Callithrix jacchus: one gene and its partners. The protein of the gene in region 3 binds, or shares a complex with, the protein of the main gene of each other region. Links are inferred from orthologs where the notes say so. Each region holds a gene or a part of one and is shown on either strand. Other genes may lie near its edges.

Region 1 (4,349 bases), on a different chromosome or scaffold from region 3:
ACCCTTCCAGTCCCATCTGAAGCACGTGAACATCTGCGGAACCTTCCCTGCAGGGATGTCAGATAAAACCCTTAGAATGACTGAGGAAGCACATTCGGAGGGAAGCTTCACAGCGACTCCGCAGTCAGGGCCGTATCTGACAGTCCCTCCCAAGCCCGTCTCACCGGAGACGCCTCTGCCTGCAGGGTTTTTGCCTCCTCCCCGCTCCTCAGCCCTGAGCTGAGGGTAAGGACGCTGAGGATCTCTGCCAAAGAATGGGCGTTAAGGAACAGGACCTAGTGTCTACTGCAGACCCTGTGGAACGGCTGAAATAATCTGCTACCCGAAGCCCCAAAGGCTCTGACTACAGAATCATCATGGCCGCACTCACTCCCAACCCTGGGAAAGGTGGACATCTCAATCCCCAAGTAGCGGGGCCGACCACACTTGGGGAAGGGGGAGTCAGGGGAAATGAGCTCCTTGCCCCTGCAGGGTGACAGCGGGGAAGAAGCCTCAGGCAGGGAGGTCGCCGTTCACACTCTCCCTCCTCTCTGCTCTGCCTTCTTCTACCCCTTTTACCTGTTCTGCCCCCACCACTCGCCAGTCACCGGCCGCCGCTCACCTGCTGGGGCGCGAGGTGCAGAGACGGTACCGAGCGAGGACCCAGAGGCTCTGTCACCACGGGCGGGGAAGTCCTCAGCTGCAGAGGAGGGGGGCGGGTCCAACAGTCATGTGACGTCCAGCTCCGCCCTGACTTCCCTCATCCCATCTCGCTACAACTTGGGGGCCCGTATTTTCACAGATTCCTTGAATATTAATCTCCTTAGATTAAAGAAATAAAGATGAATTTTCACAAGGACCGTGTTGTAAAGTACAACGTGGAAGACGCGGACAGCAAGGGCTAAAGCGCACTGCTAAGGAAGTGACGTTCACGCCGCTATCGAGGGACAGGAAATGGCGGCGGGGTTCCTTCCCTCCGGAAGCCGCCTGTAAAATTCCAGGCTCTGAGGTTGGGGTCCATCACGTGAGCTCAAAACTGGAAGCGTGCTGGAGAGTAACCGAGCGATCGGGCCCATCGCTAACTACGTCTAATTGTTTTAAGACACCTAACTTACCTGAGCTTTCCGCAGATTTATTTACATTTATTAGAACCAGCCTTACAAAACCCTAGTGGAAGGCAAGAGCGTTTGAAGGTCACTCTGGAGACCACACACCGGGAAGAAGGGGTCCGAGAAAGACCGATCGTGCGGATACGAGGCAGGAGAGGAAGGGGTGGAAAAATCTGGGTTTTACCGCCAGGGCCTACCGAGCCAGCCACACAAGTAGTGTAATAGGTGGGAGGGAGGAGAAGGACGCCGGAAGCTACAGTCCGGGAGAAAGATGGAGGCTCCGGGGTGGAGGGGGCAGGGTGCGCGGGGGCGAGCAGTGCGGCTGCGCGTGAGGCGGCGGACGCGCCGGCGCGCAGAGGGGCGGGGTGAAAGGTCACCGCGCGGCGGCTGGTCTGGCTGGCGGTAGCGGCGGGAGGGAGCTGAGACCCGAGCGCACGTGTGGGGAAGCGGCGGGACCTGCGCGGCGGAGGGAGACAGCCCCGCCCCCACCGGAGATTTAGGCCCTCGCTCGACTCTCGCGGCCTTCGGCGCTAGCTCAGCTCCTTGCCCCGGCCAGGAGGCCGGCTTGCGGGGTGGAGTGGTCCGAGCTGAGGGCGCGGAGACCGGAGGGCGGCGACGACGGCGGCGTTGATATCGGTGGTAACGACGGCCTCAGCAGGCGGGGAAGATGAAAGGGTGAGAAGGGCAGTTGGGCAGGGCTCGGCCGGCGGGGTAGAGGGGCCCGGGCGGGTGTCGCGGGGGAGAGCCGCGGAGGAGCGGAGTCTCGGGGCGAAGACCGGCGGAGGGAGATTTCTGGGCTTCTCAGTGCGGCCGCTCCCGGAGGGGGCGGAGGCGGGGCGCGGGCTGTTGGCGGGCTGAAGGGCCAGCGGAGCCCGGACCCCAGGGTCCCGGGGTTTCGGTCCGGAGATGAGTGCGGGCTGAGTGAGTGGGGCAACAGGGAAAGGCTACGGTGCGGCGCCTGCGGCCCCCTCCCGGGGTTGGACCACCGAGCCGCCCGGGCCGCCGCTCCAGGTGGAGTCGTTCGGTTGGTTTCCGTCTCCAGCCTCAACTCTGCAGCGGCGGTGTTTGGTTCACGCTCGGGAGCGGAGCCGAACCTTGCGGAGGAAGAGGAGGTTGGAATAGAGCGCAGAGCGCGGGGACGAGTATTAACAGCTAGTGACTCAACTAGATTTGGGTTGGGTCACAGCGGGGGGGGGCACGATCACGGTGGACTTGGGGAGCCAATATCTTCCAGGAAGTACCGCGTGGATCGGTAGGTGGCGCTATTGCTTTAGCAGCTCACCGTTGCCCCGAGTGCCGAGGGCTTCCTGGGTACTTTACCACGCTGCTCCCTTCAGGTGATCGGCAGACTAAATGTTCGCTCTTTCACCGTTTGCCTCTTGGATAAAATCAGGAATTATTTTCTATCGACTGCTTAAATTTTATTTTATTTTTTTCTTGAGATAGAGTCTCTGTCGCCAGGCGCCAGGCTGGAGTGCAGTGGCACAGTCTCGGCTCACCGCAACCTCCGCCTCCTGGGTTCAGGCAATTCTCCTGCCTCAGCCTCCTGAGTAGCTGGGATTACAGGCATGCGCCACCGTGCCCAGCTAATTTTTGTATTTTTAGTAGAGACGGGGTTTCACCATGTTGACCAGGATGGTCTCGATCTCTTGACCTCGTGATCCGCCCGCCTCGGCCTCCCAAAGTGCTGGGATTACAGGCTGGAGCCACCGCACCCGGCCTCGACTGTTTAAATTTTTACGAAATGTCTCTTTAGCATTAAGTTATATAGTTCTAATATATTAATTACATATATATTAATTACATAACGTTGTTCCAAAGCATTGCCTAAATAAGCCGTTTTGGAGCTTGTCTTTACCCTCAAAGAAAGGAAGCTCATAATCGTTAGCAAGTTCTCTGCAATGCCTTAGTTTGTTCTTGTTGTAAATCGATTAGGAAATCGTAACTATGTTTTAAGTTAGCGAAGCCGGTCCAACTATTCAGCAGCCCTTTTGAGGATGAAGTAAAAGTCATTTTCAACGTAATCTCATACTGCCCCAAATAAGGACCTACATATTATCTCTGTGTATCAGTGTTCGAGATTATTGGAGAAATTCCAAGAAAATTTAATTTGGTCTTAGGTCTGTAACATGTTTCCTTACTCTAATTTTCCTTTAAATACTGGATATTCTAATGTTGAATAGTATGTTTTGTATTAAGAATCTTTGAAGTTTAAGAACCATGAACTGTTCACCATACCTGCATTGTTTCACTTCAAGTTCTAGAGAGTTCCAGTTAGGGAAATTAATTGATGAGTATAGGAAGTATTTGCTCCACTTGAGTCATAATCTGGGAAGCTTGGCTGTATTAGATACAATCCAACATATTTGGGGAATGTTGTTTTTCTGCTATGCTGCACTTCTTTTTTTTCTTCTTCCTTTTTTTTTCCCCCCTTCGATACAGGGTCTCACCCTGTCACCCAGGCCAGAGTGGAGTGGCTCGGTCTCGGCCCACTGCAACCTCTGCCTTCCTCGCTCAAGCAGTCCTCCCACCTCAGCCTCCCGAGTCGTTGGGACTACAGGCGCGCACCAACTCTCCTGGATAATTTTTGTATATTTTGTAGAGACGGAGGTCTCACTATGTTGGCCAGGCTGATGATCTCAAACTCCTGGGCTCAAGCAGTCCACCAGCCTCTGCCTCCCAAAGTGCTAGGATTACAGGCATGAGCCACCACGTACAGCATATACTGCACTTCTGGAGCTGGTTGCTGTCTCTTACTCATTTTTGTTCTCATTGTCAGGCCCTTAGTACTTATTACCACGTTCTGTTCAGTAAGAAAAATGAGACCGAGGAGTTCCCAATATTGAAACTGCCATGGATTTACAAAGGGGGACTGCAGGAAATTATTCTGTATGTTTAGATCCAAAATCTTCAATCTAGTTCAGTCTCCATCGGGTGTAATGTTCTTTCTGATCGCTAACTTGGCAATAGAAATGAGCCAACCAGTCATATTATTCAGTCTGCCTTTAAGATATTCATGGAGCAATTTATCTCTGTTTAAATGGATATTTACATGTAACCTGATGGAGACAGAGCCCTAGAAATGAGTAACTGGCTGAATTTAGAGGAAACTTAAAATTATTGCATCTGTATCTTTATGCCAGTAACTATGCCTGTAAAGTTTCTATTACTTCTTGTGACTGGGAGCTTAGAATTGTGTTCTTTACAGTAAACCTTCAAGATGATTTCACAGGAGTAATCCCTTTAACTTAAAAAATGAAC
Region 2 (2,756 bases), on a different chromosome or scaffold from region 3:
TAACCGGGCCGCCCTGCACCTCTATTCCAACACCCTCAACTTTCAGTAAGTAGATCTTGGTGTCTGTAATGGGTTGGGGCTGGTCCCAGGTCTGGCTGTCAGGGCCGCTGAGACCAGCTGAGCTGCTTTCCAGGCAGGGGGTGGGCTAGCTACGGGGAGGAGGCTGTGGATCCCAGCGCTGCCAAGATGCCTCCCCACTCACTTGGTGGCTGATGGCTGAAATGTGCTCCATGTGTGTTGTGATGGAGGAGCTCTGGCCCATGCTGGCTGAGGCTGGTGAAGGGCACAGGGTTGTTTAGTCATGTTTGGGAATAGAGATGTGTGGGTCTCTGGCATGAGCAGATGCTAAGGAGCAGGACTCTGTGTGACCAAGCGCCTGGAAGCATCTAAGAGAGAGCAGAAGCAAGGAGAATGCATGTTCAGGAAGAAAGGGCCGGCGGCCAGGCAGCCTAGTGGATGGGGCAGGTCTGCCGAGGACCCGGAGGCCCCGTTTGCCTGGCCCAGGAGAGAGAACCTGGCAGTCAGTGTGCCCAGTAGACAGTGGAAAAAAGTGCTTGCAAGTGAAGCTGGGGTGGGCTACCCGTGTGCCCGTGGAGGGATGCTAACTGCACTCAGCACCAGTTTGACTGTTGGGAAGGGCGGTGGCCTCGGCTGGGTGCTGGCAGGAAGGATCTGTGACCCAGATGAGGATGTCTGGTGGAAACTGCTTTATAGTGAAGTCAACAGTCCTCATGTCTGAGGTCTGACAGGGCCAGCCTTCCAGGACATGGCCACCCGAGCCTGCACGCGTGCCTCCCCAGTGCGGGCTGGGCTGTGCTGCATAGGGATGCAGCCCTCAAACGGGCTCACCCACGTTCCTGTATTTTCATCACTGTGGTGAGGCAGCTCAGTAAGGGATAGGAAGCAGGGCAGAAAGGGAAGGGGAAGGCTGAATTCAGGGCTTCAGCTCACAAGAAACCACAGAAGGGGAATCCTTAGTAGCCAGGCTAAGGACACAGAACAGGAACAGGACAGGGGTGGGGCGGGCCACTGTTACCTGGAGCCTTTACTGGAAGTGGGGCCACTGGAGGATTCTTTCAGGCTGGACTTGCTGTCTCAGGATGGAGCCTTCAGGGAGAAAACATGTCACCTTGCTTCAGTAGCCATGATGCCAGGAGCAGAGGAGGATGTGTCCTGGGTATGGGTCTTCCTCCTTGCTCTCTGCCCTCTGCCCCCAGGATCAGTGAAGTGGAGCCCAAATACTATGCAGATGGGGAGGATGCCTACGCCATGAAGCGGGATCTCACCCAGATGGCGGACGAGGTGAGAGCGCTGCAGTTTAGCCAAGCGAGGCCAGTGGGGTCGGCCCTGTGGGCGGGGGGGAGGTGGCGGCACTTGAGAGCCCTGGGACAGTGGCTGGAAGCAAGACCAACTTTGGGCGCCAGCCCTTGTGGCCACATTGCCAGGACTCACGGCCTCAGTTTCCTAGGCTGGGCTTTAGAGGAGGCTGTCTGCCTAGCAGCAGCCTGGAGGGTGGTGGGAGAGGCAGACGGAGGAGGCTTTTAGAAGGGAAGTGGGACAGCCTGGGACCAGTGGGTGGCCTGCCTGCTCAGAGGTAGTTCTGAGTCAGGGTTCTGCCCAAGGTGGCAGGGCTGTTGAAGGGGCAGCACTCGGTCGTGGGGGCCTCCATGGTAGTCAGTGAACCCAGGGAGCAGTGGGCAAGGCTCCAGCCAGGTGTCCCCACTCAGTCCCGTGTGTCTTTCCTAGCCCTGCTGCTTCTCATTATGCCCGTCCCCTCAGCCAGCGACAAGTCCAGGCTCCCCTTGTCTGGAAACTTAGGCCCTGTATCTTTGCTCCCGCTTCTCCCTGGGCTCCTGGCGGCAGCTGAGGCGGCACCTGGAGCTGAAGGAGAAGGGCAGGCACATGGTGCTGGGCGCCATGGAGAACAAGGTGGAGAGCAAAGGCAGCTCACCTCCGAACTCAGGAGAGGCCTGTCGTGAGGAGAAGGGCCTGGCTGCTGAGGATAGTGGAGGGGACAGCAAGGACCTCAGCGAGGTCAGCGAGACCACAGAGAGCACAGATGTCAAAGACAGCTCAGAGGCCTCCGACTCGGCCTCCTAGAGCCTGCCCCGGCCCTTCCTCACCCCACGAGCTTTCACAATAAATTCGCTCTATGGCACTGGGGAACTTTGTGTGTGTGTGTGTGTGTGTGTGTGTGTGTGTGTGTGTGTATGCGCACGTGCGCTTGCACATTTAGAAGGTGTGTTTCTCCAGCTCCTCTGTCTGGTGGGGATGTGAACCTCACAGCCTTTTAAGCCAGGGCATCCTGCCAGGCCCGAGTAGAAGGGAGGAGCTTTGTGAGAGCCTTGGGGGTGGGACTCCCCAGTCTCATAACCTTCAGCAGCTGTGGCCCCAGGGAAGGAGGCCCTAGACTTCCGGGAGAGACCCTGCCTCAGAGGCCTGCTCGGCCACGCCGAATGTGTTTTGTGCAAGCCTCGGCCGCTCAGGCTCAAAGCTCAACAGCGGGCTCCCATTCTTCAGTACTTCTGCTTGGCTCTTGAGTGTCCCACCTCCAGCCCTTTTCTCTCCTAATCACACTTGCTTTGGGCTACAGCAGCTCCACTACACCCCGTGGGCTTCAGATGTAGACATCCAACTGCTCATTGGGCCTGTCTACAGCTGTCCTGTCTGAGTAATGACCCAGCCAGATGCCCAGTTGCTCAAGCCCTGTCAGTGGTCCTTGAGTCCTCCCTCCCCTGCTACCCTAATGGTCAGTG
Region 3 (3,163 bases):
CCTGACAACCTGACCCCCTCTCACTTACCCTGTGTGTCTTGCCCCACACCCTTTCCACTACTGTCCTTGACAGCAGGAGGCAGCAGATTGCTGAGGCCCCCACATGGAGGAAGATGTAGAACAAGCGGCTGCAGGTGGATGCGGTGAGAAAGGGCCACCTAGAGTGGCAGCAGCTGGCACAAGGAGCAGGCCCACAGCAGCACACCTGGGGGTAGAGCAGATGCAAGGCGGCGAGGTGGACTTGCTGAGGAAAACCATATGTTAATGTATGTGTGAGGTTAACCCAGGAGGTTGAATTCCAAAATTTCCCTGTCCCCTTTCTTCCTTTGACTCAGGTTCTGTTTCAAGTTGGTTGCAGCCATTTGGGATTGCCTTCCACTGACAACTTACTAGGGGTTTCATTACAAGCAGGCTTCAGATATCTGACCTTTCTCTAGACCTAAACACCTGGGGCTGGGAACATAGCTGGATAGAGTTACAGATGACCAGGGGCAAAGAACCAGAACGACATTAGAAAAGAGGCCTGTCGTTTTTATTGGCTTCTGCAAGTTTTCCTCCCCAGCTTCAGCCACTCTCCCCTTTGTACCCTCTCACCTGACAGAAGGGGTTTTTCACTAGGACACTGCTGCTTCCGCTGTGCTGCTGTGCCAGACCCAGGGAGGTGCTGGGGCCAGGGCCGGCCTTGGCACCCACCATCCTTGTCCCAGGGATTAGGCTTAGGTCCACCAGATGGAAGGCAGATGAGAGCAGTAGCTGCTTCTTTCCTCAGCCCATTGGACTTCCACTGTGCTGGGGCTGAGCACCGGGTCGCAGGCAGAATGGGGACATCCGGAAGACAATGCTGACCTCCAGGATGCGGTAAATGCAAATGCCCTGTGAAGGAGTTTTCTCCTCAGGGCCTCATCACTGGGACCACTGAGGCTCTTCTCTCCAGATTAGGGGCTGTTTGTCTATCTGGTCTCTTGTGGATTAGCATTCTTAATTGGTTTAGGATTAGACGTCACCCATTCAGGTTGAACGGAGTTCCCTGAGGTAGGTGCGTGTGTATGTAGTGAGGTGACTGTTCTAGGTTAAGACGGGGGAAGGTGTCGGTGGGGCGGGCCGGAATGGTGACGGGTTAGGTATGACAGAAGACCTTGCAGAAGACAACACTGTAAAAGCCCTAAAGGAAGTCTAAGACAACCGCCTCCCTCGCTGAAGCTTCTAGAATTGGAGCAGAAAGAAGGTGTGGCCCAGGGCCAGCCCCGCCTCCTCCCCGGGCGGAAGTTGTCAGTTGCGGAAGTCGCCGTGGGGTGGGGCTTATGCAGCGGCGTGGTGAAATAGATATGGCGACCGAGGGGGATGTGGAGCTAGAGTTAGAGACCGAGACCAGTGGCCCAGAGCGACCTCCCGAGAAGCCACGGAAACATGACAGCGGCGCGGCGGACTTGGAGCGGGTCACCGACTATGCAGAGGAGAAGGAGATCCAGAGTTCCAATCTGGAGACGGTAAGGTTGGCCAAGAACGTCTCGGGGCGGGCTGAGAGCAGAGGGAGGCTCTGAGGCTGTAGCTGGAAGCCGGCGCCCTAAGACGGGATTCTGTTCCCCATGGCAGGAGGCGGCAATAGGATAGAACCGAGGGAAACAGCGGTCATCAGAGCCCGCCCTTGCCTAAAGAAGCTTGATAGTGGGCTTAAGGGGACCTCAGATGCATAGAATGGAACTAAACATAGTCCTTGCTACATGGTAACACTTATCTTGAATTCATACATGAGCCGCTTGTTTTATTGGCTTTTTAGATTATTGGGAATTGTGGGTAGCAGAGCAGTAACTAGACCTGCCTTTCCCATAGGCCATGTCTGTGATTGGAGACAGAAGGTCCCGGGAGCAGAAAGCCAAACAGGAGCGGTGAGTCTTCAGTGGTAGCCACCTTTAACAGTTCTTCCCTCCCCACTTCCCAGACAAAAATAAAAAGCATTATTAAGACTTTATACCGTTCTTCAACTTTATCACCAATTCCTGTAGATCTAGGCGCCATAACTTTACTATTCTAGTTAGCAGAAGGCCTTCTGGCAACACCTGCCCCCCAGACTTCAGGGGAAAGGAGTATTAGTGGGAGTTTTCAATCAAGTATTTACCAAGACTTATTTACAGAGCACATTTGGGAATGACCCTTCCTGGGAGTTTATGGTGTTTGTTGAGAATGAGGACTAATCTATTTAAATATTTGCAGGGAGAAAGAACTGGCAAAAGTCACTATCAAGAAGGAAGATCTGGAACTGATAGTGAGTAGTAGTGCCTGACTCTAGCGTATGAGCAGGGGAGGTTGTTCTACTTGGGTTGTTTCCTGAAACAAGTGGAGTCAGTATATTCGGTGGCACATTAGTGCCTGGGAACTTATCTAACATGATTTTTTTCTGCAGATGACCGAGATGGAGATATCTCGAGCAGCAGCAGAACGCAGCTTGCGGGAACACATGGGCAATGTGGTAGAGGCGCTTATTGCCCTAACCAACTGATGTGTGCTTTCTTAGATGTACCTACTGGATTAATTTATGGCAATAAATTTTTTTTTGTCTTTTTGCAGTTTCATCATCTTGGGTCCAGTGCAATATATACTATATTTTTGTGTGGGGAATTTATATGTTGGGGAATAATTGACTTTAAGTGACTCATTAACACCTTGGCACACCTATGTAAAAAATCAGTGAAGAATACCTTATGTGTAGATGCCAGGTGGCAGCCCAGTCTCATTCATCTGACTAGCTCTCAATAGTATTCAAGGTACATATGGAGTCTCAGCAGAGTTACTGTACTCAATGGTATGTGTCTCCAAGGTAGCTTATGAATATCTAAAAGGCCAGCTCCCTGCCTAGGAACCACCATATATAGGTAGATATAAGTTATGAACTCAGTTCATAGGCCACCTTGAGTTAGAATTTTGGTACCTACAACATGCTTGATTTGGAGTGATCAAAAAAAAAAAAAGAAAAGAAAAGAAACAGCTTAGGGGCCAGGCATGGTTGTTCCTGCCTGTAATCCCAACACTTTGGGAGGCTGAGGCAAGAGGATAATGTGAGAGCCCCACAGTTTGAGACCAGCCTGGACAACACAATGAGGCTTCATCTCTACCAAGAAAAAAAAATTTTAGGTACCTGAGGGTTAGAACATGGTAAGACTAGAAG

The links.
Region 1: HYPK (region 3) and NAA50 share a complex: the UniProt entries of both Homo sapiens proteins name them as parts of the N-terminal acetyltransferase E (NatE)/HYPK complex. The link is inferred for Callithrix jacchus from reciprocal best matches to the Homo sapiens genes HYPK and NAA50.
Region 2: the proteins of HYPK (region 3) and NAA10 are in contact, whole or in part, in a crystal structure (PDB 6C95), measured with the Homo sapiens proteins. The link is inferred for Callithrix jacchus from reciprocal best matches to the Homo sapiens genes HYPK and NAA10. Residues at the interface, in NP_057484.4 of Homo sapiens: Lys27, His28, Ser30, Gly31, Asp34, Leu35, Arg37, Val38; in NP_003482.1 of Homo sapiens: Glu24, Tyr26, Lys29, Tyr30, Tyr33, Lys59, Glu134, Lys136, Tyr137.

The regions. Positions count from the first base shown.
Region 1 is NC_133516.1:103,481,905-103,486,253, forward strand, and holds the start of NAA50 (N-alpha-acetyltransferase 50), read left to right. Parts: upstream 1-1,509; 5' UTR 1,510-1,755; coding exon 1,756-1,763; intron 1,764-1,915; exon of another isoform or gene 1,916-2,340; intron 2,341-4,349. UniProt on the Homo sapiens protein: N-alpha-acetyltransferase that acetylates the N-terminus of proteins that retain their initiating methionine. Has a broad substrate specificity: able to acetylate the initiator methionine of most peptides, except for those with a proline in second position.
Region 2 is NC_133524.1:149,842,077-149,844,832, reverse strand, and holds the end of NAA10 (N-alpha-acetyltransferase 10), read left to right. Parts: coding exon 1-45; intron 46-1,080; coding exon of another isoform or gene 1,081-1,217; coding exon 1,218-1,302; intron 1,303-1,818; coding exon 1,819-2,100; 3' UTR 2,101-2,166; downstream 2,167-2,756. UniProt on the Homo sapiens protein: Catalytic subunit of N-terminal acetyltransferase complexes which display alpha (N-terminal) acetyltransferase activity. Acetylates amino termini that are devoid of initiator methionine.
Region 3 is NC_133509.1:31,465,145-31,468,307, forward strand, and holds HYPK (huntingtin-interacting protein K), read left to right. Parts: upstream 1-1,325; coding exon 1,326-1,487; intron 1,488-1,830; coding exon 1,831-1,886; intron 1,887-2,211; coding exon 2,212-2,263; coding exon of another isoform or gene 2,264-2,271; intron 2,272-2,401; coding exon 2,402-2,497; 3' UTR 2,498-2,570; downstream 2,571-3,163. Other genes in the region: SERINC4 (serine incorporator 4), read right to left, coding at 29-205, 595-696. UniProt on the Homo sapiens protein: Component of several N-terminal acetyltransferase complexes. Inhibits the N-terminal acetylation activity of the N-terminal acetyltransferase NAA10-NAA15 complex (also called the NatA complex).